Drosophila melanogaster: one gene and its partners. The protein of the gene in region 1 interacts with the protein of each later gene in a pairwise test. Each region holds a gene or a part of one and is shown in the gene's direction. Other genes may lie near its edges. The genes, in order: row, TwdlL, Drep1 and Rhau.

Region 1 (7,588 bases):
CTACGATGTGTGGATGGGTAATGCCAGAGGCAACACCTACTCCAAAAGACACGCCAGCAAGTCGCCGCTGCTGCAGCCCTTCTGGAATTTTGAGTGGCACGATATCGGAATCTATGATCTGCCCGCTATGATGGATTACGTCCTTTACTGGACAAATGTGACTCAACTTACGTATGTGGGTCACTCTCAAGGAACCACATCCTTTTTTGTGCTCAACTCTATGATTCCGCGCTTCAAGAGTCGCATTCGATCTGCTCATTTGCTCGCTCCTGTGGCCTGGATGGAGCATATGGAGAGTCCTTTGGCCACGGTCGGTGGACCACTGCTTGGTCAGCCCAATGCCTTCGTCGAGCTCTTCGGCAGCGCCGAATTTTTGCCAAATACACAGCTAATGAACCTGTTCGGGGCTCTCCTCTGCAGCGATGAGGCCATTTCACAGTTCATGTGCACCAACACCCTATTCCTGCTGGGCGGCTGGAACTCGCCATATATCAACGAGACCCTGCTCCCAGATATTATGGCCACCACTCCGGCGGGATGCTCAGTAAATCAGATCTTCCACTACCTGCAGGAGTACAATTCCGGATACTTCCGGCAATTCGACTACGGATCTACGCGCAACAAGAAGGAGTACAGCAGCAAGACCCCGCCGGAGTACGATGTGGAGGGCATCGATGTGCCCACCTATCTCTATTACTCTGACAACGACTACTTTGCTAGTCTGATTGACGTGGATCGCCTTAGGTATACCATGAACCCGAGCGCCCTGAAAAGCGCATATCGCATGCCGGAAGAAAAGTGGAATCATATCGACTTTCTGTGGGGACTGAATATTAAAGAAATTCTTTATGATCGGGTAATTAACGACATAAATAATGCATAAATGTGCGCTGGAAATAAAAAAAAGCGACATACGTTTTTGTGACATTGTGATAAAAAAAGTTCCATTGGTCACCACTTCAACGGGGGCTTTTGGTAGCTAATGAACCGATAATATACGAGTGGTCATAAATTCAAATTGATTTGGTGACACTTCACGGTGACTGAACAACGCAAAACGAACTAGCCTGCTAACATTTTTTGCCTTATAAGTGCACCTGCTAAATACAATGGATTATATTAAGTGTAATATAATAAAATATAAGCTGTACTAGATATTTTTATTTTATTTGCTGATTGTGTACTGTTGAGAAATATTTTGCACTCTTAGTTTGAATTGCGCGCCAACTTTCAGGGATGAAGCATCTTGTAAAATCATCGATAGACTTTCAGCGTTTTTTGTGGTAGTCGATAGTCCGCAACATACTGATCATAGTAAAAAATATCTGTAATGTATATTTAGGTGGGAAAATATATTCATGGCATTTATTTATACGTTAAATCAATTCTTGTTATGATATTCCTTAATTGTAAAAAAATTTTATTCTTGTTCTTATTAGCAGAATATAAAATTGACCAGTTTACGTTAACACTTTTTTTTAAATACAAAAATTTGATTTATATTTGTTTATATTTTAACGAACCGATGTGTGGTGCACCACTGTGCGTGTGTCACGACAATACCCAAGCCGATATTATCGATGTTTTCATCGATGTTATTTACTCGAGCAGGTACATCCACGCAAGGAAAGCTAATTCGAGCGAAAAAAAATTTACTTAGCTCTTAATATTTTTAAAAACAACGCCCTCGCTGGGCCAGTGGTCGGTTAACTAGTTAGCTGTAAGATGACGCGCGTAACGAGAAGTGAAATCTCCCTGGACATGGAGTTCTGGGTGGAGGAGCTGTCGCCGGCACAATTGGCGTACTACGAGAAGATTACTAACGAGCACAACGCGGTGAAGGGTGCACTAAAGAACGCGGTTAGCGCCAACGAGGGCAAGGAGCTGTTTAACGGCCAGGTGTTCCAGGCCTACTCCTTTAAGGGCAAAGTGCTGCAGGAGCTCAAGGAGGCTACGCTGCCCAAAAAACCACCCAAGCCGACGGACTCTCCCTCAACACCCGCCGCCCAAAGCGGTGGCACAGGGCGGGGTCGTGGCCGCCCACCACGACAACCATCCAACATCGCCTACCTGGAGTCCTCCGATGAGGGAGACGACGATATGCCGCTGGCCAAGCGACTGGCGCTGTCTGCAGGCAAAAAAGCAGTGGCCGTGGCCAATGCATCTTCCTCGTTCACCCCGAAATCCAGTAAGAAGGCTGCATCCGCTGCTAGTGGAGGATCTTCTTCACCGGTACCTAAGAGCAGTGGAAAACTATTTAAGGAATCCAAACCGGACATCGAATCGCCGCCGAAGAACTACCGCCCCGCCGAGGTTAATTCGGTGGGCGGTCTGGTGGTGGGCAGCACCGACGAAAGCAAGGATAGCAAAGACGGCAAGGATGGCAAGGATAACAAGATGCAAGGAAAGACATATCCATCTCTGGTGGTGCTAGCAAAGCCTTTTCTCAAGATCAAAGACATGGCTGCCACCCGCAGCAAGCTGGACTCGAAGGTTAAGCTGGTGCTCATGCTTACGCCCAATAAATTCTGCGAGTGGCTGCTCCAGGAGGGATTGCTACGCGCTCAACAGCATTGCATAAACCATCGCAACAACGAGCTCAAATTGGGTAAGAGATATATGATCAACTGAATTCGTTTATTAATGTATTTATATTTAGGAATTTATTCGGATGTGACCAAGTTTCCCTACACTGGTGGCTATGTGTGGATCAGCGAATGTTGCCCCTACCGCTTCGTCTCCGTGTTCAACAATTCCATTTTCGAAGGAGCTCAGCACCCACCCACATTCCTGTTGAAGTTAATTTACCACTGGGCTTGCCAGACCAGTATTCAAAATGTGGTGCAGTGGGTTAAGGTGGACAGTGTTTATATCAAAGGAATCTACACCTGGCTTAGAGCCATTTGCACTTTGGCAGTGCATCAAAAATGCAAGAAGCTGGGCGGTCCCGGCAAGTTTGTGGAGGTGGGTGTTATTTCCCTAGGAACCACATCCCAAGATGGCTCCCAGCGACAAGTGAAAGTTGAGGTTCTGGGCGTCTATGATTATGCGGAGAAGTCCATCCGACTGCGGGCTGTAGAGCCAATCACCGATGGTGATCGTAACTACAAAAAGCGATTCCAGGCCATTCTTGAGCCACTGTCGCGCTGGGTGCACAAGGACAGCACCATTTGTATAGACTTGACTGTCGACAAGATCACCCTCTTCAGCATGGGATTCAAAAATATTGTCCAAGCAGCTGCCACTGACAACACAGCCAAGCACAACAACTCAGCGGTAATGGAATATTTGCGACGGATTGTGCCGCGCATGTTCCAGAACACCCTATCGTTGCTATCTCGCCAGATGATTCAACAATTCCTCGACGAGTTGGTATGGCGAGAGTCCTTTGGTACATATGCCTTGCAGGCATTCAACAATATCATAATACACATTGCCGAGCAGACAAGAGTAACCACCAATGAGACAATCACTCAGCGTCTGTATCAGGTAAGCAGAATCGAAAAATTTTTATTAGCGATTAGCCTTTAATAGCTCTTTCGTTTAGGTGGCAACCAATCCGTTCAAGGACTGGAGTATTTTGCCGGCCAACTACAAGGAGACACCTGCCAATGCTGCTCCCAAGCGCCTCAAGAAACGTTAGTACTATCGTACTTTTGTAGCAAGTTTTTATTTAGGCCGTGAATAGAATAGTGCGTTATGATAATCTGTTAAGTGCCTGCGTTTCTCACTCCAAACTGAAATGTTTTCGTTTTGTTTGATTAGTTTTGGTTAATCGAACCCAACAGCTGAGCTCAGGTCCACTTATTGTGTTATGTGAATTGTGAATTTATATAATCTATATAGGTGAAATGTATCATTGATATATTCACATATGTACAATTTAAGCATTACTTCCTGACATTTCTCGTGTCTAATTATTTTAAAACAACCCCATTAGAGAAACCATAAATAAACTTGCAAGAAATTTAATAACTGTTTTTATTTGATTTCCTTTTTCATTTGGAGTGATAAAACGCAAGAAAGAATTTACTAATTAAATTGATTGGACCCATTCCACCAGATTCAACAAAAATGGACAAATATGTAATGTTTAAGTTTGTATGTTGAGATTACATCTTTTTAAGTTAACATCTTCAATTGCAGCTATCAACGATGCTGACTACGTTGTTTCTAACAAGATTCCCAAGAAGGAAAAGGATCGTGATATAGCATCATCTGGAGTCAAGCGCGGCCGTCCACCGAATGCATTAGGCACCCCACCACCTCAATTGCCAATTAAAAAGGGTCCAGGTCGGCCGCCGGGCAGTACCAACCAGACAAAAGGAGACAGAGCAACGACCTCGTCATCTAAATCACTGTCTAAATCTCTGATAGCTAAAGGCCTTGGTAAAAAACCGAAAGAAAAAGATGAAAAGATTCCAATGGTCATTAAGAAAGAAGAGGATGATCTAAGGGGCTTGGAGGAGCTGTACTATGGAATAAGTGATGGTACGGACGAGTACCACGAGATCTTTCCATATAGCACACCCCGTACGGTTCACAACGAACTGGCCAAGACCGTGGAGTGTCCAATCTGCCTGAACGGCGACTCCTTCGATTCCAATGAGAAACTCCAAACGCATTTAGTATCGCATATTTCGCCAGAGGGTAAGCAGCACCAGTTCCAGTGCCTTTTTTGCTTGGAGAAGCATCCCACCGAGTCGGTTTTGGCCAAACACAACCAGATCATGCATCCAACTGAGACAAAAACGGAGGGTTCACCCTCGTACTACTGCCTAATATGCCAGCAGCGTCACAATTCCCTGCATCTGTTGACGGCTCATTTGCAGAAGGTCCACAGCACCCTGGAACTACCATATTGGTGTCACTCCTGCGGCTATCGATCATCTTCGCACCGCGATTTGGTCAGGCATTTTTATGACGACCACAAGCATCAAAACTTTTTACAGTGCCCCTATTGCTTGGATGTAAGTAGCTGTCATGGTAAAGTAATCTTGTAAAGTTCTCTCTATTAAAAACTGATTCTTTTTAGATTTTCTACTTCTCAAAGCTTGGCGTCGTTAACCAGCTGCGCATAGAACATTACTTCATGCATTTGGACGAGCACATCAACAAGCGTGATCCCTCGCTGCGCTGCCAGAAATGCTCGCTATCCTTCCTCGAGAAGGGGGATCTAAAGCAGCACGCAGTGCAGCATCATGTGAGCATGACTAAGACCAATAGACCGGTGCGTCTCTTACTCAACAACTCGATGTTGATACCACCGCCAAAGATTCGCACCCATCACCGCGAGCAGCCGCCGTTCTCCACCTACAAGCGGCCAGTATTCTTTGCTTTTCTGGAGGGTAAGACCTGTGCCGAGTGCAACACCGATTTCGCCAGCGAGGAGACACATTACACGTAAGTTCAAAAATATTTTATTTACCTAAGCAATAAATCGCCATGGATAAAGGTGCCAGTATTCACAAGAGAAAACCAGAGCTGACAGTATCCAACCAATTCCCAAGACACACCAGCCCAGTCTCAAAGTATCCACATCGATACTTTGATAGCCCAGGACGTTATCTACAAACCTAACGTATCCAGCACGCATGGCATCGTTAAAGTCGGAAACTACCCAGTGATTCAGCAGTCCAGTATCCTGAATCTTCAATATGAAATGGTTAAGGGATGTCTCCAAGTGGCTGTCAACGCGCATTGGATAGCCAATATGTGGAGATCCCAAGCAAGCAGATGAAAAGCGAAAAATCGGCTTAAAGGCATATTGCTGTTGCATGGCAAAAAACTGCCAACGTTCTTCTGTAAAAGGGTACGCGAAGCTGCGATTAAAACTCAGCAAAGCGGACACCTGTTCACTGGCATTTACAGGCACCAAAAGCCGAGATACTTTTTCCACTAATCGAGGTTCAACATGGCGCAGAAATGTGTTAATTTCATACTCCTTGACGAGCACCCTTTGCTGCTGGTGGACAAGCTGATCCATGCTATTTACTTGCTCGCCCACTACTATGGTTGTGAAGAAGCTGTCCAACTCAATGTTGTACCAACTTGTGGACATGAATCCCAGGACTGAAAGTTGTAGGAAAATAATCAAATGGCGCCATGTTGGTCTGTAAATTGTTATAGGGGGGCTGATAAAAAGTATCTTGCTTATCGCATCTAGAAAATTCAATCCCAAGCGTTGCGGCCAAGAACTTTTATTGAGTTTCGGGCTTATGCAATAGAGAATTCCAGTGATGTAGAAAACTGCGAATAACAGAATATACCAGCTGTACAATTGGAATGGTCGCAATAGGTACATGTGCCTTGGAATCTCATTTCTCATGGGCACAATCAAGCAGTTTGGATATATTAGTAAGGGGTAACTCTTGGTTGCTGTTGGGGGTGTGAAAACGTACGGGTGCAAAGAGATTTCCAATTGACCGTCTATAATCAACTGCACAATGTGGTTCATATTCACACTAGTTGTTGGGTCTAGATTCTCATCTGGATTGGTCAAACGCAGCGAGGCATTATAGTGATCCAAATATTCCACGAATGTGCGATATGCGTATCCCAGCACCTTTCTGCTCTTCGTTAATGGATCGTGCACATGAAACACTCTCGGAATATCATTTTCCGCCGGAGTGGATACTACATATCCATGGAAATTCCTTGCTGCATGTGGAAATAGCGGTTCCGTATGAATATCGAGTTTGAAAAAACGCATCGCCGGATACGGAGTGTAGGAATAAAGCTGATCCCTTTGCAGGACAAGAACGTTGAGGAATTGATATTGCCATAAGGCGTTGAATATTGATTTAATAGCACCTTGCGAGCCACTTCTTTGATTACGCAGAATGATGATCAATCGAATGCGACGGAGTTTTCGTAGATTTCTATCCAGAGTAAGCCACATGATATCATGTTTATCATGACAAAAGAACAAAGCTATGCCATTGTATCTAGTGATTTTAAAATGACCAAGGGGTCTTATATGTTCAGGTTGGAGAAATAAATTCATTGTCAAGCTAGTAACTCCCATTGTTTGATGGAGCCAAATAATCAAGTCGTTGAGGTCGCCTCCTTGCGTATTATGTCCGACGAATATTGGTGTATTTATCCACGGCTCCCGTGTAGAGATGAGACTTAGAACGGATTTCAACAATGTCACATTGTAAGCAGCGTTTGTTAGCGCCAGTAATAAAATAACGACCAATAAGGTTAACACTTTGCACATGGTGGTTGATTCAATTGTGACAAGCCAGAACCGCGGGTTGAGGTTTATAAGTCAGCAGCTAATTGATTTAATAGTGGCTGATTGATCTCTTGGGGAAAACTCATTAGAATGTGTGAGGCAATAATTTGTAATAAAAGGTTTTGGCGCTCTACGCACTCATTTAATCACTTTTTTATATTAAATCTTTTCCCAGTGGTTGGCTACACTGCGTTAAGTGCAATTATCAGACATGTTGCGAGCGAGCGCAATTCCGTCATGGCGTGGAATGTAATGGAAACTTTGTGGACGCCATGGAAGTGAATATGCCACAGGAGATGCACTGCATCTGCGGCTTTGCCACCGGCAACGGCAACAAGATGGCTCAGC
Region 2 (3,546 bases), on another chromosome or scaffold:
ATAAAATTTAACGTTAAAACCCTTCACTTTCATTCGCTTAGCTTAAGATGACAAAACACTATCAAACGATTATTTTGTATGGATTACAGAAAAGTATCAGCAGAACTTTTGATGATGATATCCTTCTATCCAAACACAGCATTTTTCATATTGTTTGATTGCTTGTACGTTCTTCTTCTCCGTTTAAATGAGATTTTAAACTGACTGGACGCAAATATTCTGGCTCTTATATACGGGACTTGTATGGAATTCCCAGACTATTTAAAACAGGTTTGCCCAGAGTTCAAAGCAAGCTTCCGACATTCTTTTTGACTTTGAACCTCAAACTAAAAAGTCACTTCAAATTCTAGACCCACTTTCGATAGCAAAAAAGGCGACAAACAGAAAGCAACAACAAACCATTAACTATCAATGGAGTTCGCATAGATTAAGATTTTATCGTTTCGTAGGCGGAACTCAAAGAATGCATCACATTGTGTTCGACTTTAATGACCATCAGAACATTTTTGGACGGGCTCTGACTTTTTTTTTGGAAACGGGTTTGATAGTTTTGCAGCATTTTCCCCAATCGAATTCCGGGCAGTTTTGCCCCGGTCAAGAATAAATCGCGGCGCCATGAACCGGTCGAGAATTTGGCTTTTGCAATTGGGCAGAAAGTCGGGGGTCGCCGACTGGATGTATTGGCGAGAATTTTAGGATAGTTTGCATAATCATTTCATAAGCGCACCGCTTTGCATAAAAAACTAGTTGAGTTATGTAGCAACCCGACGGGAATGGTGTCGGTTATAGTTCTAAGTCGGTTCTAACTACGCCAGATGGGTATATAAGCTGCTCACCTCAGTCTCAGGATTCAGTCTTGGCCTTTGCCTGTTAAGCACACCCAGCCTACAAAACCAAACCTTCACCATGCGTTTCCTCATCGCTTTCTGCCTGATTGGTGCCGCATGCGCCCAGTACAACTACGGAGCGGGATTTACCGGAGCCGCCTCCGATAATGTTCCCAGTTACTCCGGAAGCAGTGTTGGCGACTCCTACGATGGTGCTGCCAGCAGCCCGGACTACTCGGTCTCCAGCGAACTGAACAAGGAGTACTACACCTTCGAGGCTGACGAGAGCCAGTTCGAGGATCCTCTGGCCGCCCAGAAGATCGCCGGCTCCGTGAACAAGGGACTCCGCGTGGTCTTCATCAAGGGACCCGAAAACCGTGGCCTGGAGAACGCTGCTCTGGCCCTCGCCAAGCAGGCTGCCGAGCAGAGGACCGCCATCTATGTCTTGAACAAGCAGACCGACATTGGAGATCTGGCCCAGAAATTCAATGCCGCCCGCCAGAACTCCAACCAGCGTCCTGAGGTGCACTTCGTCAAGTACAGGACTCCCGAGGATGCGGCCAATGCCCAGCGTGCCATCCAGTCGCAGTACGATAACCTGGGAGGATCCAGCCAGTCCATCAACGGAGGAGTTGCCAACGCCATCAACTTCGCCTCCGCTGCCCCCGTGGTTCCCGCTCGTCGTGGCCCCAACTACTCCCCACCAGCCGCCGCCACGAGCAACTCCTACCTGCCCGCCAACATCCTGCGTCGCCTGCGCATCCGTTAAGGACCGAACGAAAACCGACAGTTGTTAAATGTGTTGTATAAATGTAATTGAATAAAAAACGAAAATCGATAAAAACAAATACGCTTAGATTTATATATCTATTTTTAATCTAGATCTTCGAAGTTTCTGACTTTGTCATCGGCCATTGCAATTTGTTTGTTTTTTAATAGCTTTTCCTTATAATAACATTTATGCAAAGCTGAATTGCTCTGCGAGCCCGAACAAAAGCCGTTCGCTGCCTACTTTGTAGGCGGACAAAACATTTAGCAGCATCAGCGCTTTGTCTTCGAAAAACTGCGCCGCCAGCTTCGAAGTTGGGTTAGTATATATAGTTACCGCCGCCGTGGTCATAGGCAGAAGCAATTTGTGCTCCGAACCAAGAGAACCTCAAACCCAAAACTAAAGATGCGCGCCTTCATCGTAAGTGGTGTAGCCAGGACTTAAGACGAATTCACAACTAACGGATAACCCTTGAATCCTGTAGGTAATGTGCCTGGTGGCAGTCGCCTGCGCCGATAAGCTCGGCTACAACTACCAGCCCGTGGGACACTCCAGCTCCGGACTGTCCTTTGCTCCTGGAAGTGGCAGCATTGGAGGTGGATCCATTGGAGGTGGTTCGATTGGAGGAGGCTCCATTGGAGGAGGATCCATTGGAGGAGGCCTCATTGGTGGTGGCTCTATCGGAGGCGGTTCCATTGGAGGTGGTTCCCTTGGTGGTTCCATCGGTGGTGGCTCTATTGATTCCGGTCTTGGCGGTCTTGGTGGACTCGGTGGTCTAGGAGGTGGCGACGCTCTGGCCGCTCCAGTCTCCTACAACGCCCCCGCTCCCGCTGCTGAGCTCCAGAAGGAGTTCTTCACCTACTCCGCCAACGAGCAGGACTTCGATGAGCCACAAGAACTGGAGCGTGTTGCTGGATCCGTAAACAAGGGACTGCGCGTTGTCTTCATCAAGGGACCCGAGAACCGTGGTCTGGAGAACGCTGCCCTAGCCCTCGCCAAGCAGGCTGCCCAGCAGGAGACCGCCATCTATGTCCTGAACAAGCAGGCCGATATTGGAGATCTTGCCCAGAAACTGAACGCCATCCGCAACAACAATAACAACAAGCCCGAGGTGCACTTCGTCAAGTACCGCACTCCCGAGGATGCTGCCAACGCCCAGCGCGCCATCCAGTCGCAGTACGACCAATTGGGAGGATCCTCTCAGGCCCACAACGGTGGTGTGGCACCCGCCCTGAACTTCGCCTCCGCTGGTCCCGTCCAGAAGGCTAATGCTCAGATCCCTGAGAACGCTTACCTGCCCACTTCCATCTTCCGTCGTCGTTTGTAAATATTTTAACGACTTCGAGATGAAGGCGTTGACTGTTCTTGTTAAATCTTATTGTTGAAATCTATTGATAAATAATATACAAAAATCTGAATACAAACATTCTATGATATTTTATATTGGATGGTGGTGTAGTAAACAATAGTGTATACCTTCCGATGACAACATGAGTGGAGTTACAAGTTGGGCTTTTAGAAAATTATTTCAGTCTTTGGTGAGATTTTTCGACCTGTTTTTATTGCACAAAAAGTTTGGTAATGACTTTTAATTTGAATTTATTCTTAAAAAGGTGCAACGCTATTAACTTAATACAAAGCAAAAGACCTTTAAAACTCATTAAGAATTTGGTAAGCTATATTACCCAAGGCAGCTTCCCGATGACCTTGACGTTTAATATTTGTCATAACCAAAATATTATCCTACGAAGTACTGGGAAAAGAATAAAATAAAATATTTCCGCATATTTTAAATGTAGGCAAAATGTTTTTACGACAAAAAAGTTAAATTAAATATAAACATATCGTTTTCACCACTCTCAAGTTAAATTTTTTATTTCATTAGTAATATATGCGAAAATAAAGAATCAATGAACTGGGGGCGGCATTTCAAACATCTCATTAGACGAC
Region 3 (7,954 bases), 3.2 Mb from region 1:
CCAATATTTTTGTAAAAACGAATGGTGTGTGAACTCTGGCAAGGGCAAAAATCCTACGCATTCATTAAGTTTCCATGACCGCGAGCTGCAAATGTCAAAATGAAGAGGTTCAAACGAAGTCAGCGAAAGAAAGTCCTCTTGAATTTTAACGAGGTCCTTTTGCATATCAGCTTTCTGTTCGTTAACAGGCAGACGCAAGCTGTTACTGAAAAGGACTGAGCCGTGTTAAATCGCTTATGTTATCCTTTTTTTTTATTGCGCAAAGGATAATTAGTTGTGTCTGCCCTTTTGGCCGAATTTAAAACGTCTGTGTCTGGACAAAAGATTAAGTTGTTAAGATGAAATGTTTTTTGTTATTCTGTTTCTTTGTTTGCTCTTTGTCCTTATAATCCTCTATCTTATGTGTATTTTGTTTTTTGGCTCAGTTAAACTAAACATTCTCGAGCGGCTTGATGCTTCTTAGTAAAACCAATATCGCCAGGCGTTGATTTATTGTTTTCCCTCGATATTGCCTATTGCCTGATTGCCCGTGAGGCAATTACCTGTCACCTGGCTTCGAGGTGGAGCTCAACCCAGATTCCGGCCGATGTGTCAACGTGTCCGTGGTCAATGCACCGCGGTGCATGCACGTGACCTGCGAACTGCAGGCGACACAGCCACCCACACAAGCCAATGTCCTTGTGCGTCCTTTCGAGTGACCTGCGCTTAAAATAGTCACAGCTACCACCCACTGCTGCTTCTCCTCCGCAGGACACGTAGAAGTTACTATGTGCAGTGCAATGACAGCAAACGGGGCAAACTGCCAGCAGCAGAAGCAGCATCAGCATCCGAGGAACCAATGGTGCGCACTAGGATGACAATTTAAGGCTGCCCCATCTCTGATCTCCCCCATACTTGCATGCCCACCTCTTTTCCGGGCTATTCAGTACCGTTTTATACGTGGAAAAACTTTTGAGAATTATATAAAGTTAGTTGATATTCGTATGACTAAAAGAAAACTACTCATTCCTATTTATACCTACATACCTTTATCCTTTATGGAATCCATTTGCTCAATTAGGCGCTGATAAGTATGCAATAAGTTATAGTTTTTATTAGTTTTTAGTATCATAACAGAATCTTTATTTTTCGCCGTGCACAAACTGATGAGAACCCAATCTGGGGCCACCTTCCGGCTTTGGCTTTCCTTTCATGTATTTTGGCCATTTGTCAAAAGTTTGCTTTTTGCTCTTCTTATCTGGACGGTTCGTTGATGTGTGCATGGCAATAGATGTATATAGATTTAAATGGGTGTTGGCCACTTGTGTAGAAAGTTAAGCGTAGTCCAACTGCTCTTTTGGCCGGGTTCCAAGCGGGCGAGGGGATTTCGAATTGACAACACCGGATATCATTGGGCTGATAATGCGCAACCCCTCCCAATGGACTAATTGAATCCGAAAGCACCTTCCGATGGAAATAGAGATTAGATTGCTGGAATCACCTTAACTTTTCAGCCAGGATTGTTCCAGCAAACTCTTTGTGTTTTCTAGGGACTAGGCCACAGCCAAATGTTAACATATTCAGCGAGAGAGAACGTGTTTTTGACTATGTTTGTTTTCTCTTTGTAAGCTTTATGTTTCAATATATTTAAAATTCTAATCTGTTTAGTGTTTTCTTTTAGAAGCACATTATTACCTATTTTACAAAAAATTGATACAATATTAATTAATTAAATAACCAAAATCTACAGGGAATAATTTATAAAAAAAAAAATATAAAAAAAAAAAGTGTTAGGCTTCAAAAATATGTTTACTTATCATGATTAAAAAGAAACATGGCCAATAGGACATAAAACAAATATTATTTGAACCTATCAGTTAACATTCATTTAAAAGCGAGCACTCGCAGTTCGAACTCAACATCTGTTAGAAGCCCTTTCTCTGCGTATAAAAGGCAGTGCTTTTGAGCAAAACGCGCTCATTTCAAAACCGGTGCTCATCGCAACGAAAGCTCCGCTGCGGAGCCGAGAAAATATTGTTAATTCCCATTTGAAGTGCAGCTTGTGGAAGGAAATTCCAAGTTTGTTTGTTCGGACGCCGAGTGCAAGTGCAAGAAGCAAGCGAAAAGTAATCAAATCTATAGAAAAGTCATTTAATGTGGAGCAATTAAGCCTGGAAATAAAGTGCATAGTGAATAAGTAATTTAGTTGGAGCAAACAAAGCCATGGAGACTGCAGCGAACTCGGGCGACTCCAAAAAGCCTTTCAAAGTGAGTTCCCCCTGTAATTGTAAATGGAAATAAAGGCCGCAGACGAACAATTGCATTTTAAGTGCATGCATTATTTTCCTGGCATGTCCATTTTTGGGCGTTGTTGTTTTCGCCTTTGTTGTTGTTGGCCGCGTGCTGCGTTCGCTACTTTTTTTCCTTTTTTTTTGGATTCTTATGGAAACTGGGTTGAACTTCAGAACTCAAGAGAGCCAAAAGCTCAAGCTAAGAGAGTGCCGAAAGCTCAGTAATAAGCATTAACTGCCTGAAATTTGACTTTGCAAATTCAAAAACACTATTTAGTTGCTTTCTTTCTCTTTGTCCTTTTTTTTACATGTTTGTCTAGCTTTGCATTTGCCTTTTGATTCGAGTATTGGGAATTGTTTGCCTTTAGCATTTGTTTTACTTGACTGCTGGGCCATTGTTTCCTGTTTAATTTGTTTATCTGCCGCTTAAACAGCAGAAAGCTGTTTAAAGTATTATGGGGATGTAAAAAACGTGCTTAAGGTTGCAGAAAACCACTGGAAGTACATGCAGCTGACAACTCAAAGGAAACCAATAAACCACAAAGCTATTTAAATTGTCTGTGAAACACAGAAAACAACTTTCGTAAAACATGACTGGAGATAACATCCAGGAATTCCCTCCCCCACTTTATCCATTAAAATGCCGCTCCTTATTAAAATATTTAATTCAAAAACCACCAAACGCAAATCGGCTTAAAAGCTGTCAAATACCATGACAGCCATGAAAATGCCATTAAAAAGGGAAAACTTTTCATCCCGACATGTCGCTGTAATTAGCCAACAGCCACGCCCACGACCCGCCTCAGGCATTTTGTTAATAATTTATTAAACAATCTACATAATGCCGCGGCATAGTTCAAAAGCAATTTAAAGTTGTCGCCTAATTTCCCCAGCGACTCGAAAATCTGCGGCCTACGCCCATCAAATATTAAAATGTCCTGCGACTTGTGGATTCTGCCCGCATCTTGGATGCAGATGATAGAGTTCCTGGCACGTCTCCTTCGGCTGCTCCTAAAACGGAGCCAGACGCCGGAGGTCGTTGCACGTTCATCTACGTACGTATGTGTGGACCAGGACCCTCGGGTCCTGATGGCTGAGCAGCTCGAGTTAGTTGAGATTTATAAGCCCTCAACTCGCTGCTGCTCTACCAATTTGCCCAAGTCGTTTTGCATACACTTTTGTGTATAAACTGGTCTTCTAGAAAAACACTTAACTGATTTCATCTAGACTTTCACATACATTAGCCTGAACTTGTAGTGATGCTAGTTTGGAAATTTGTATCTTAAACAGTAGCAAGTAGGTAACATTTGTGTTTGCTCATTTCAATATTTAAATATTATTCTTATATTTAAATATTAAAAAATAAAGTTTTACTTACCACGATGTGCCAAAAATTTGCTCTTAATGATATAACCTAATAGCATTTCCATTCAAGAAACAACTTGAAACACTTTTGAAACATGTTTACTTTCCGAATAAATCTTGTTTCTGATTTGTATAAGCTTTGTATAATTTTGCGGGTAATTAGATAAACTGCTAATTGAATTGCGACCGCTTGAAAAATCGACGCCACTTGAAAAATCAACTAATGCGATCGACTAAAACTTTTGACAAGTTTCCGAACAAAAACTATGCTTTTGTTTTCGATGCTGCCGCGACTCCCACTTGTCAAATGCGCCAGTAGTTGGGCAAAGTTTTCATTGTTACAAAGTTCTAGCCCCACACGCCGCATTCATGATATGATTAATATTTGGAGCTTTCGCGGCACAAAAGTTATGTGGCTTTAAGTATTTATAAGATAATTTAGGGACGACCTCCTCCGCTATCTGAGCAAATGGAATTGGGATGATAGAGCAGCTAGGCGCACGAGTAAAATGAAATGTTCGAAATGCAAACTCGAGTACAATTTCATTTAGTCACGGTGCTCTCAAATATTCATGAAGGACCTCAAGGAGTTGCACGCTGTCCGACGTTTCGGGGCTATAAATTCTGGGTGGAATGCATTCGTGCCGCTTGCTCCCTTAAAGTTGCGCCTCCTTGAGCCTCCATCTGGACGGGTCTAATTTATGTTTCGTTTAACCTTAGTGCTGAGGCATCATTTAACATCGCATGCAAGTTTAATAGAGCCAAAGGCTTGCGTCCTTCGTCCTTGCAACCGGCGAACAGCACTAACCTATGGCATTCGCGAAGGAGCATGCAGCATGAAGAATGCTGACATGCATAACTTGTCAAATAAAAAGAAAATTTAAAAGGATACGCCAGGGAATCGGGGAGTGGGAGATAAACGACAAATATTTGCACCGCAGCTGCTAGAGTGCATGTCAAACTGCGTTCGAGATCTCGAGCAAAAGTAGAGGAGCTCATGGAACTCGGCATTCGCAACTGAAATATGCACAAAGTCGTCGGGCTGTGGGAGGCACTTTAAGGTGGTGACATCCCCCACCGGGAAAAAGCCGTCCATAAATCTCAATTAGAGCAAATGGACATTTGACAGCAGGACATGACGTGGTCGCAAATATTGCGTTCATTTATTCATTGCGATTTTTCGGGGAATGGAAAACAATCAGCGTCGAAATGTGGTTGTGTATTTATTATTTAGCAACTTGCGCTACTATTTATCTTTTCTCTTTGTTTAATGGAATTTTCAAAGATTGCCTAATTAAATAACTATAAAAACAGGGTAAAGTTTGCGTTGAAAAGAGAAACAGACTGAATAATTAAGTGCAAGCGGGAGGATAATGAATAAATCAGGCGGAAAGTTTCCATAGTTTCTCCATTCCGTTCACGTTGTTGTCTCAAGAAAAAGGGTGCAGCTAAAGGAAAATTTACAACTTTTCCCATTTCGATGTTTTTCCGTTTTCTTATTTTGGGTGCCGACGATGTGAATATTTTATAGGACCTCAGTTGTTTCCCATCTGACATTAATTTATTATTCATTTGATGAGCGGGGCCATGTGTAACTGCTACTGTCTCCGTAATTGCAAACGTGTAATGGTTTATTATTCCCTTTTCCCGGCACTGTCCTTCTGCGTTTTTATGGCCAGGTCAAGGACGTAACACGCAACATTAAGAAGGCTGTCTGCGCCTCCAGTCTGGAGGAGATCCGCAGCAAGGTGGCGGAGAAGTTCGAGAAGTGCGACCACCTGCCCACCATCCACCTGGACTCCGACGGCACGGAGATCGATGATGAGGAGTACTTTCGCACCCTCGACGAGAATACGGAACTGGTGGCCGTCTTTCCCGGAGAACATTGGATCGATGTGAGTAGCCCTTAAATAAAAGGAAAAGGAAAACAGGCACTTAAAAATAATTATATCAGCACCTTTTTTATTTAAATCACCTCAATAAATTCGTTTTGCGATTGTGTAATTTTCATTTCTCAAAGTGAACACCGCTTAATTGGATAGCTCATTTTATGTGTCCCTCCTTTTATCTGCCATAATGACTAATTGCATTATTTCTTGAATGCCATGAAAGAGCTCCATGAGCATGGGACCAAAGCCAGGAAGATTAAATTAAATGCTATCTGCACTCTGTTTATAGCCCACTCACTACGTGACGATAACCACTCCACATGGCAACGAGGCAGGAACTGGAAACGGAGAGCTGAACGGAGGAGGCGAGGGCGACACCACCGATGCCAACAACTCGGAGTCGGCTCGCATCCGCCAGTTGGTGGGCCAGCTGCAGAACAACCTCTGCAACGTGTCCGTGATGAACGATGCCGATCTGGACTCACTCTCCAACATGGATCCCAACTCGTTGGTGGACATCACGGGAAAGGAGTTTATGGAGCAGCTCAAGGATGCGGGAAGGTGAGTTTAATTCCTTTCCCATATACCACTTAATTGTAGCATGATTTCATGACTTTAGGCCATTGTGTGCCAAGCGGAATGCCGAGGATCGTTTAAATCTGCTGAAGCTATTGAAAGCTGGTGCCATTTTCTGCTCGGAACGTTATCCCGAGGATGCGGAGGCCATTGACCGGGAGATTGGACGGCAGTTGAACGAGGCGGAGAGTGGACAGATGAGCACCACAACGACGAGCAACACCCGCACCATCGAGGTGGTGCAGTGCGACAATCAAAACACGACGATAACAATTACGGTGGGCGAGGCCACCACCACTTGCGCCACAGCCAGTGGAGCGATGGGATCCTCCGCTGCCGAAGCGGCTGCCAATGAGGCCAATGCCAATCCAAATAGAAATCCAAATGCCAACGGCGACATCTGACTGCCCATTTTGGGCAGTCTTAGGTAAAGTCTGCCGGCGGAAAACTAACGCAACTGGGTGCGCCAATCAAAATCAAGAGCCAAAAGGATATACCGAAGACATCAGTCCTGCAACATTGGGTTAACATAAATCGTATTTGTAGCATGTAATTAGGCACTGCGAAATCAGCAAAAACGAAACGGAGACGAAATCAAGTCATTGAAAATGCTTCATAGTATCTAAGAGCAAATGAAAGTTAACGAACAATACACGTACTAGATTTAAACACCGGGTCACGAGGCTCAAGAGAACAAGAGGCCCGCGCAGATTTGAAAAGTCTTTTAGCAATCACAGTCAGCGGAATCGTATTTAACCGCATATACACGAGTCACACCAAGCCGTACTAGATGAATAATAATCAAAGGTTAGCGAAATAAGTATTATACTTGAGGTAGAATCCCACAACCAGAGCGAACCCCAATTGGATGGAGTTGTCCCAGGAAACTGTTGATTTGCTTACCGTGTAAATTGTGTTACGAATAGTAGGTAGAGTGGAAACGCACATCAAATATTGTTTTTAGACCAATGCCATTGTGAATGTCATTCGTTAAAGGCCAATTGAGACTGACTGAATTTATGTGTAATAGGTTTTTTCGTGGTTTGAGCGGTTCGGGAAAGATCGGATGGAAGCCTCCAGCGCTGCTGCCCTGTCCTCCCAGAATCCCCGTCTTCCCGCCCCCGAATCCATAGCCAAATGAATTTAAGCGACAGCGCAAACATTGTTAGCTAATTAAACAATAATGGAACACAATAACGCAAATTGCAATTGCCCAATCAAAGTTGGTAACTGTAACTGTCTACAATTCGAATAAGCAATAAGGGAAACCGTAAACGTAAACGAAATCTAAAACCGAATGCAAACAGTGAACAATTATTAAATATAGTGAAAAGCATACAGTAAATGCAAGTGAAAACCCCGAGGCAAACTATATACACGAAACCAAGTAATAAATAAATGATTATTAAACTAAAGTTGATTGAACTAGCATAACTGGCAAACGGGGCGTATGCGCAACGCACAAAGCGTGTGCAACAGGGCGTATGGACTGCATCCTGCTCTTCCGCTGGCAAAAGAGAGTTTCCCCTTCCTTCACCGCTTCTTCCATTTCCCTTTTTTCCAGTTCGAGAGAGCAAGAGAGTGGGAGTCCTACACCTGCTGCTGCCATATAATTGCATTACTCGACGCCATTCTCTTTTGCCATTCAACTTCCTTCGTGACGTCACTGCACCATGACGTTTGCAGGTCCTGGCTAGCTGATTGCGATGGCCTACTAACACAGTTCAAAGCTCCCGGGTGACCCAAATTCGTGACGACAGCGCCCCACAGCAAGGGTCTCTTTGTGGGCGTGGCCCTGGCTTTGATGAATTGAATCCAGCGTCCTGTGGCCTTTGCATACTCAATATCCCCTAC
Region 4 (5,574 bases), on another chromosome or scaffold:
TGGAGTGATTCATTTGACCAGGCTGAGAGGCTGGCCGTTAGCGTTTGAACATTTGAATTGCCTTGTATTGAAGGATGCGTTGGGAACAAGCTTTGGCTTTTTGCGTTAGCTTGTCCAACGCATCTAATGAATCACTAATGAAATCGGAATCGCAGCAGCTGAGCAGCAGAGGTAGAAAACAGAAAATCCAATAAAAAGGCAAACGAGCAACAGGTTTTGCGGATGGTTCTGGCTCGCTACACGGAAAACAAAGTACTTAAACTGTAAGATTTGATTAGGAAATGAAATAAACGTTCGTTATTAGTGCTCTTAAATTGAGTAAAATTTACATTTTAAGCTAAGAGAGCTATAAAGTGCTGCGTTTCAATATTTGGCATGCAAGGATAAATTTAATAGATATATAGATATAGATATATATGTGCCCTGGTATTTTCTGCAGTGTGGCGAACGGGCGTGCCAACTGGCGGCAAATCATTCACAGTGCTCGGCTAGAGAAATCAAATTTAATATATGACTCCGCAAAAGGCCAATTGTGAATGGAGTGTTGTGTGTGTGTGTGTGTGTGGGCAGAGGAGTGTGCGAGGGAGGGGGCGAGGAGGTGGGTAGTGGAGAGTGGAGCGACAAGTTCAAGCAGGGCAACAATTTCTTTTCAGGTCGCCAGTACACATAAGCATCTGCGGAGGAAATGCTTTCAACAAGATTTCTTTTGCCAAAGAATTTACTGCAATTGCCTCTTTCTCTATTTTGTTTACATGCACTGCATCTCTTTCCCTCCCCTCCACAACATCACAACACAACCCTCCGCGACCAACACTCCTTCCACAGAACGATCTACATATGTCTTTCTCGCTCCCGCTCTGGCATTAGTTGTGTGCTGCAACTGCGAAAATGTAAACAAGTATAAAACCGTCTAATAACCGCTGGAATTCCAAGAAACGAAACGAGAATTGGTAAGAATGCGCTCACCTTCGTTTTGATATCTGTGTCGCCTGCTCACTTTTGATTTTTTTCGGTGGTTTACGTCATAAGACCAGAAAAATAATGGCTTGCCACTCTCACACAAATAGAGCCACACTCGCACACGCACACAAACTCGCGATCAAACGGCTTTTGTTGTGGTTGTTGTTTTTGGACTATGTCTTTTTGTTTGTTTTATTGCGCGACGCTCTGTACAAAAAACAAGCTGACAAGCTGTGCACACCGTTCCCTCCGAACACTTTTTCTTGCAGTGTGGTACTCCTTACTTATTTAGTTGTTGCTCTTGCTTTCCACTTTCGGCCACTTGTTGCTCCTTTGCCGGGAATGACACATGGAACACACTCCGCTAGCGGGCTTTTGTGCAACGCAAACACTGTTCTGCCTAGTTATTGGACACTTGGCATGCAGATCGCTGGCTCTTCACGGCCGTTAATTGCGAAAAAACAAATTCTAAGCACAAGCGGTTCGATTTACTCAGCGCGTTGAGTTGATCGAAATTAGTGTGACCGCAGCGGGATCGCTCAATCAAACCGCTTCATTTTCAAGGGTTATGGAAATATACTTTTGGGATTTAGCCTGTATTCGAACCAAACAATAAGCAGCAAGCCGGTGTTTTTCACTTATTTTTAAAACTTTGTTTATGATTTTCATTTTATTTTGCTTCGTGTTCTAAATGCAACCAATTTTGTTTGAATAAAATATTTATATTTGAAAATTAATTATTAAAGTAACACAATAGGTGTATATAATTAAGTTGGCAGTCCTAGTCTATCTGATTTGCGCATTTTGACAGTCCGACAGCACTATGAATTTTGTTGACTTCGGGTTGGGAATTCTTCTTCTGAATTCTTTTATATAAATTGGACAGGATGCAGCGCGATAGGGACTCATCCGGCTCCAACGCCCGCAAGGGCAACCGCCCACCGGGTCTCAGGGGCAAGGACATCGGTTTGTACTATCGCAATCTTGCCCGGCAGCAAAAGAAGGACAGAGGCGAGAATGCGGAATCAAAGGAGCCGCAAATCCGCTTGGGCTGCAATGTCAGTGCTCCCAGTGGAGTGCTTGAGCGTGTGAAGGAGTTAATGGAGGACTACAGCCGGGCACCGTCCAGACAAAATGTGGATGACAAAAATGTGGATGCCAAATTTCAGCAACAGTTTCGCCATCTTTTGAGTGTAAACTTTGAGGAATTCGTTGCGGAGACCAAGGAACGGAACGCGGACTTAGACTGGGTAAACCCCAAGCTGGACGAGAGACTGCAGCTGGAACTGGGGCAACGCCAGTTGGAGGAGAATGCCAAGAAACGGCTAGAAGCACGGAAAAAACTGCCCACCATGAAATACGCCGACGATATTATCCAGGCTGTGCGGGAAAACCAAGTAATACTCATTGTAGGAAGCACTGGATGTGGCAAGACCACTCAGGTGCCTCAAATCCTCCTCGACGACGCCATTTCCCGCGGATGTGCCTCGTCGTGCCGCATCATTTGCACTCAGCCACGAAGGATTTCAGCCATCGCCATTGCCGAGTGGGTGAGTTACGAGCGCTGCGAGAGCCTGGGCAATTCGGTAGGCTACCAGATTCGCCTAGAGAGCAGGAAGGCCAGGGAGAGAGCCTCCATCACTTACTGCACCACAGGCGTTCTACTGCAGCAGCTTCAATCGGACCCACTGATGCACAATCTAAGTGTCTTAATCCTGGATGAGATCCACGAACGCAGCGTGGAAACAGATCTCCTAATGGGTCTTCTAAAGGTTATCCTGCCCCACAGACCCGATCTAAAGGTGATCCTGATGAGTGCAACTGTACGGGAGCAGGATTTTTGTGACTACTTTAACAACTGTCCCATGTTCCGCATCGAGGGCGTGATGTTTCCCGTGAAGATGCTCTACTTGGAGGATGTTCTGTCCAAGACGAACTACGAGTTCCAAAAGTTCCGCGATCGTCGTCCCAAGCGGGATCCGCCTGAGCGCAGGATGAAGCACGAGGCTATGATAGAACCGTATCTGCGACGCATCAGGAACTCGTACGATAGTCGTGTGCTCGACAAGCTGCGTTTGCCGGAGTCGGAGGGCTGCGAGGATATTGATTTTATAGCCGATTTGGTTTACTACATATGCGAAAACGAACCAGAGGGTGCCATATTAGTGTTCCTGCCTGGTTATGATAAGATCTCCCAACTGTACAATATTCTGGATAAACCAAAGACTTCGAAGGGCCAAAGGTGGCGGGATCATATGGCCGTATTTCCATTACATTCCCTAATGCAGTCAGGGGAACAGCAGGCAGTGTTCAGGCGACCACCGGCGGGCCAGCGTAAGGTTATAATCTCTACAATTATCGCCGAAACGTCGGTGACTATTGACGACGTGGTTTATGTGATAAACTCTGGCCGGACGAAAGCCACCAACTATGACATCGAAACGAACATACAGTCGCTGGATGAGGTTTGGGTGACCAAAGCAAATACCCAGCAGCGGAGAGGCAGGGCAGGTCGAGTGCGGCCGGGCATATGCTATAATCTGTTCTCCCGCGCTAGAGAGGATCGCATGGACGATATTCCGACGCCGGAGATACTACGCTCCAAGCTGGAATCCATAATTTTAAGCCTCAAGCTACTGCACATCGACGATCCGTATCGGTTCCTGCAAACTCTTATTAATGCCCCCAATCCCGAGGCCATAAAGATGGGAGTGGAACTGCTAAAGCGGTGGGTTTAATAGTTTGGCCCCTTCGTTTCACACTTATAATTTAACCCGCTTATTGAACAGCATTGAGGCGTTGGACCAGACGGGCACCCTTACTCCACTGGGCATGCACTTGGCAAAGCTGCCCATTGATCCGCAGATGGGAAAAATGATCCTGATGTCGGCGCTCTTCTGTTGCTTGGATCCCATCACTTCGGCGGCGGCTGCCTTGTCCTTTAAGTCCCCCTTCTACTCGCCTTTGGGTAAAGAGAGCCGAGTGGATGAAATCAAGCGGAGAATGGCCCGAAATATGCGGAGCGATCACCTGATGGTGCACAATACCATTATTGCGTACCGCGATAGCCGCTATTCGCACGCGGAACGAGACTTCTGCTATAAGAATTTCCTCAGCTCCATGACACTGCAGCAGTTGGAGAGGATGAAGAATCAGTTCAGTGAGCTGCTCTACAACTACAAGTAGGTTCGTTTTATGACTGCCTTGTGTAAACTAAGCTACTTACCTTATTTCAGATTTCTGGCATCGTCAAACTGCAAGGATGCTGCATCCAATAAGAATTCTGAGAAGATTCCCCTACTGAGGGCCATTATAGGAGCGGGACTCTATCCCAACATGGCTCACTTGCGGTAGACACCACCTATTAACAATAGAGGCAATAACTAATACACAATTTAATGCAGAAAATCACGGCAGATCAAGAATAGAGTACGCGCTATCCACACCATGGCAACGGACGATGGACGCCGCGTTAACTTTCATCCCTCCTCGGTGAACAGCGGAGAGAGTGGCTTCGACTCGGCATACTTTGTCTACTTTCAGCGGCAGAAGTCCACCGATCTTTTCCTGCTCGACTCCACAATGGTTTTTCCCATGGCACTGATCATTTTCGGAGATGGCGTGGAAGCGGGAGTGACCCAAAATACGCCATATCTGTGCGTGGCCAAGACATATTAGTGGGTATAACATATCTTCCTTCAATAGGATAAACTTAACTTATTTCATACTTAGCTTTAAATGCAATCGTGAAACTGCCGACGTAGTCATACAATTAAGAAGCAATTTGGAGAAACTGCTGCTCAAAAAGGCTTTGTATCCGGCCCCGATCGAGGAGAACGGATATGAAAAGCAGTTGATCAAGTTAGTCTTAACCCACGTTTCACTTAACAACAATAATTACGTTTTTATTTCCGCACAGAGCCATCGAATTGCTTCTCTCGCTAGACGAAAGACTCGGCGAGGACTATATTTCATCCGATGAAATCGATGACATATAATCTGCCTCCATAGCTTGGTGTTGTAGTTTATTGTTAGCAAAACATTGTATAGCGTAATAATAAATTATAGGTGTAAACTAGTGATGCAATAACAAAATCAGTAAATGCAACTTTTAATCGTCCTCCAGCAGAGCAAACACGTTCCGAGACCTGGGTGCGTCTTCCCTGATGCCACATTCCTCCTCATCAGCATTGGTCTCGTCATTGGAGCTGTCCTCGTCTTCATCCTCGCTGTCGGCAGCTTAAAATGATGGGTTTATTTAAAATTAGTTTAGTTTTTAGTTTTCAAATTTGTTAGCTACTCACTATCCGAGCAGACGGATGATGTGTCGCCGTTGGTCTCGCTCTCCGGCTCATCTAATTCGACTTGCTGGTACTTCTTGACCTCCCCCACATCGGGATGTTGGAGCCAGTGCTCACGTCGCTCCTCAAATCCGGGCGGATAAAACTGCAATACCAACATCTGTTGGCCGGCCAGGCACATGCGAAGGATATGATTCGCGGCCCGGTAGCGATCCGGCCTGGCTGCCTTGGCGGTGAGGAATCCCCTCTTATATGCCCAAGCATCGGAGATGGCCACCGCAGACCACTCATCGTAATCCTCGGGCAGGTGGAG

The links.
Region 2: the proteins of row (region 1) and TwdlL interact in a two-hybrid assay, tested with the Drosophila melanogaster proteins (one large-scale study listed by BioGRID).
Region 3: the proteins of row (region 1) and Drep1 interact in a two-hybrid assay, tested with the Drosophila melanogaster proteins (one large-scale study listed by BioGRID).
Region 4: the proteins of row (region 1) and Rhau interact in a two-hybrid assay, tested with the Drosophila melanogaster proteins (one large-scale study listed by BioGRID).

The regions. Positions count from the first base shown.
Region 1 is NT_033778.4:15,207,627-15,215,214, reverse strand, and holds the start of row (relative of woc), read left to right. Parts: upstream 1-1,580; 5' UTR 1,581-1,725; coding exon 1,726-2,608; intron 2,609-2,659; coding exon 2,660-3,489; intron 3,490-3,547; coding exon 3,548-3,638; coding exon of another isoform or gene 3,639-3,643; exon of another isoform or gene 3,644-3,970; intron 3,971-4,146; coding exon 4,147-4,970; intron 4,971-5,035; coding exon 5,036-5,403; intron 5,404-5,428; coding exon of another isoform or gene 5,429-7,222; intron 7,223-7,415; coding exon 7,416-7,588. Other genes in the region: CG8093 (uncharacterized protein), read left to right, coding at 1-883; Ir51b (ionotropic receptor 51b), read right to left, coding at 5,429-7,222.
Region 2 is NT_033777.3:26,624,058-26,627,603, reverse strand, and holds TwdlL (TweedleL), read left to right. Parts: upstream 1-1,951; 5' UTR 1,952-2,001; coding exon 2,002-2,016; exon of another isoform or gene 2,017-2,080; coding exon 2,081-2,923; 3' UTR 2,924-3,017; downstream 3,018-3,546. Other genes in the region: TwdlO (TweedleO), read left to right, coding at 907-1,596.
Region 3 is NT_033778.4:12,042,662-12,050,615, forward strand, and holds Drep1 (DNA fragmentation factor-related protein 1), read left to right. Parts: upstream 1-1,950; 5' UTR 1,951-2,202; coding exon 2,203-2,247; intron 2,248-5,314; coding exon 5,315-5,530; intron 5,531-5,813; coding exon 5,814-6,085; intron 6,086-6,143; coding exon 6,144-6,504; coding exon of another isoform or gene 6,505-6,531; 3' UTR 6,532-7,511; downstream 7,512-7,954.
Region 4 is NT_033779.5:20,754,056-20,759,629, reverse strand, and holds Rhau (RHAU helicase), read left to right. Parts: upstream 1-1,644; 5' UTR 1,645-1,847; coding exon 1,848-3,688; intron 3,689-3,749; coding exon 3,750-4,142; intron 4,143-4,196; coding exon 4,197-4,310; intron 4,311-4,364; coding exon 4,365-4,637; intron 4,638-4,692; coding exon 4,693-4,821; intron 4,822-4,879; coding exon 4,880-4,958; 3' UTR 4,959-5,051; downstream 5,052-5,574. Other genes in the region: Ns4 (nucleostemin 4), read right to left, coding at 5,072-5,199, 5,265-5,574.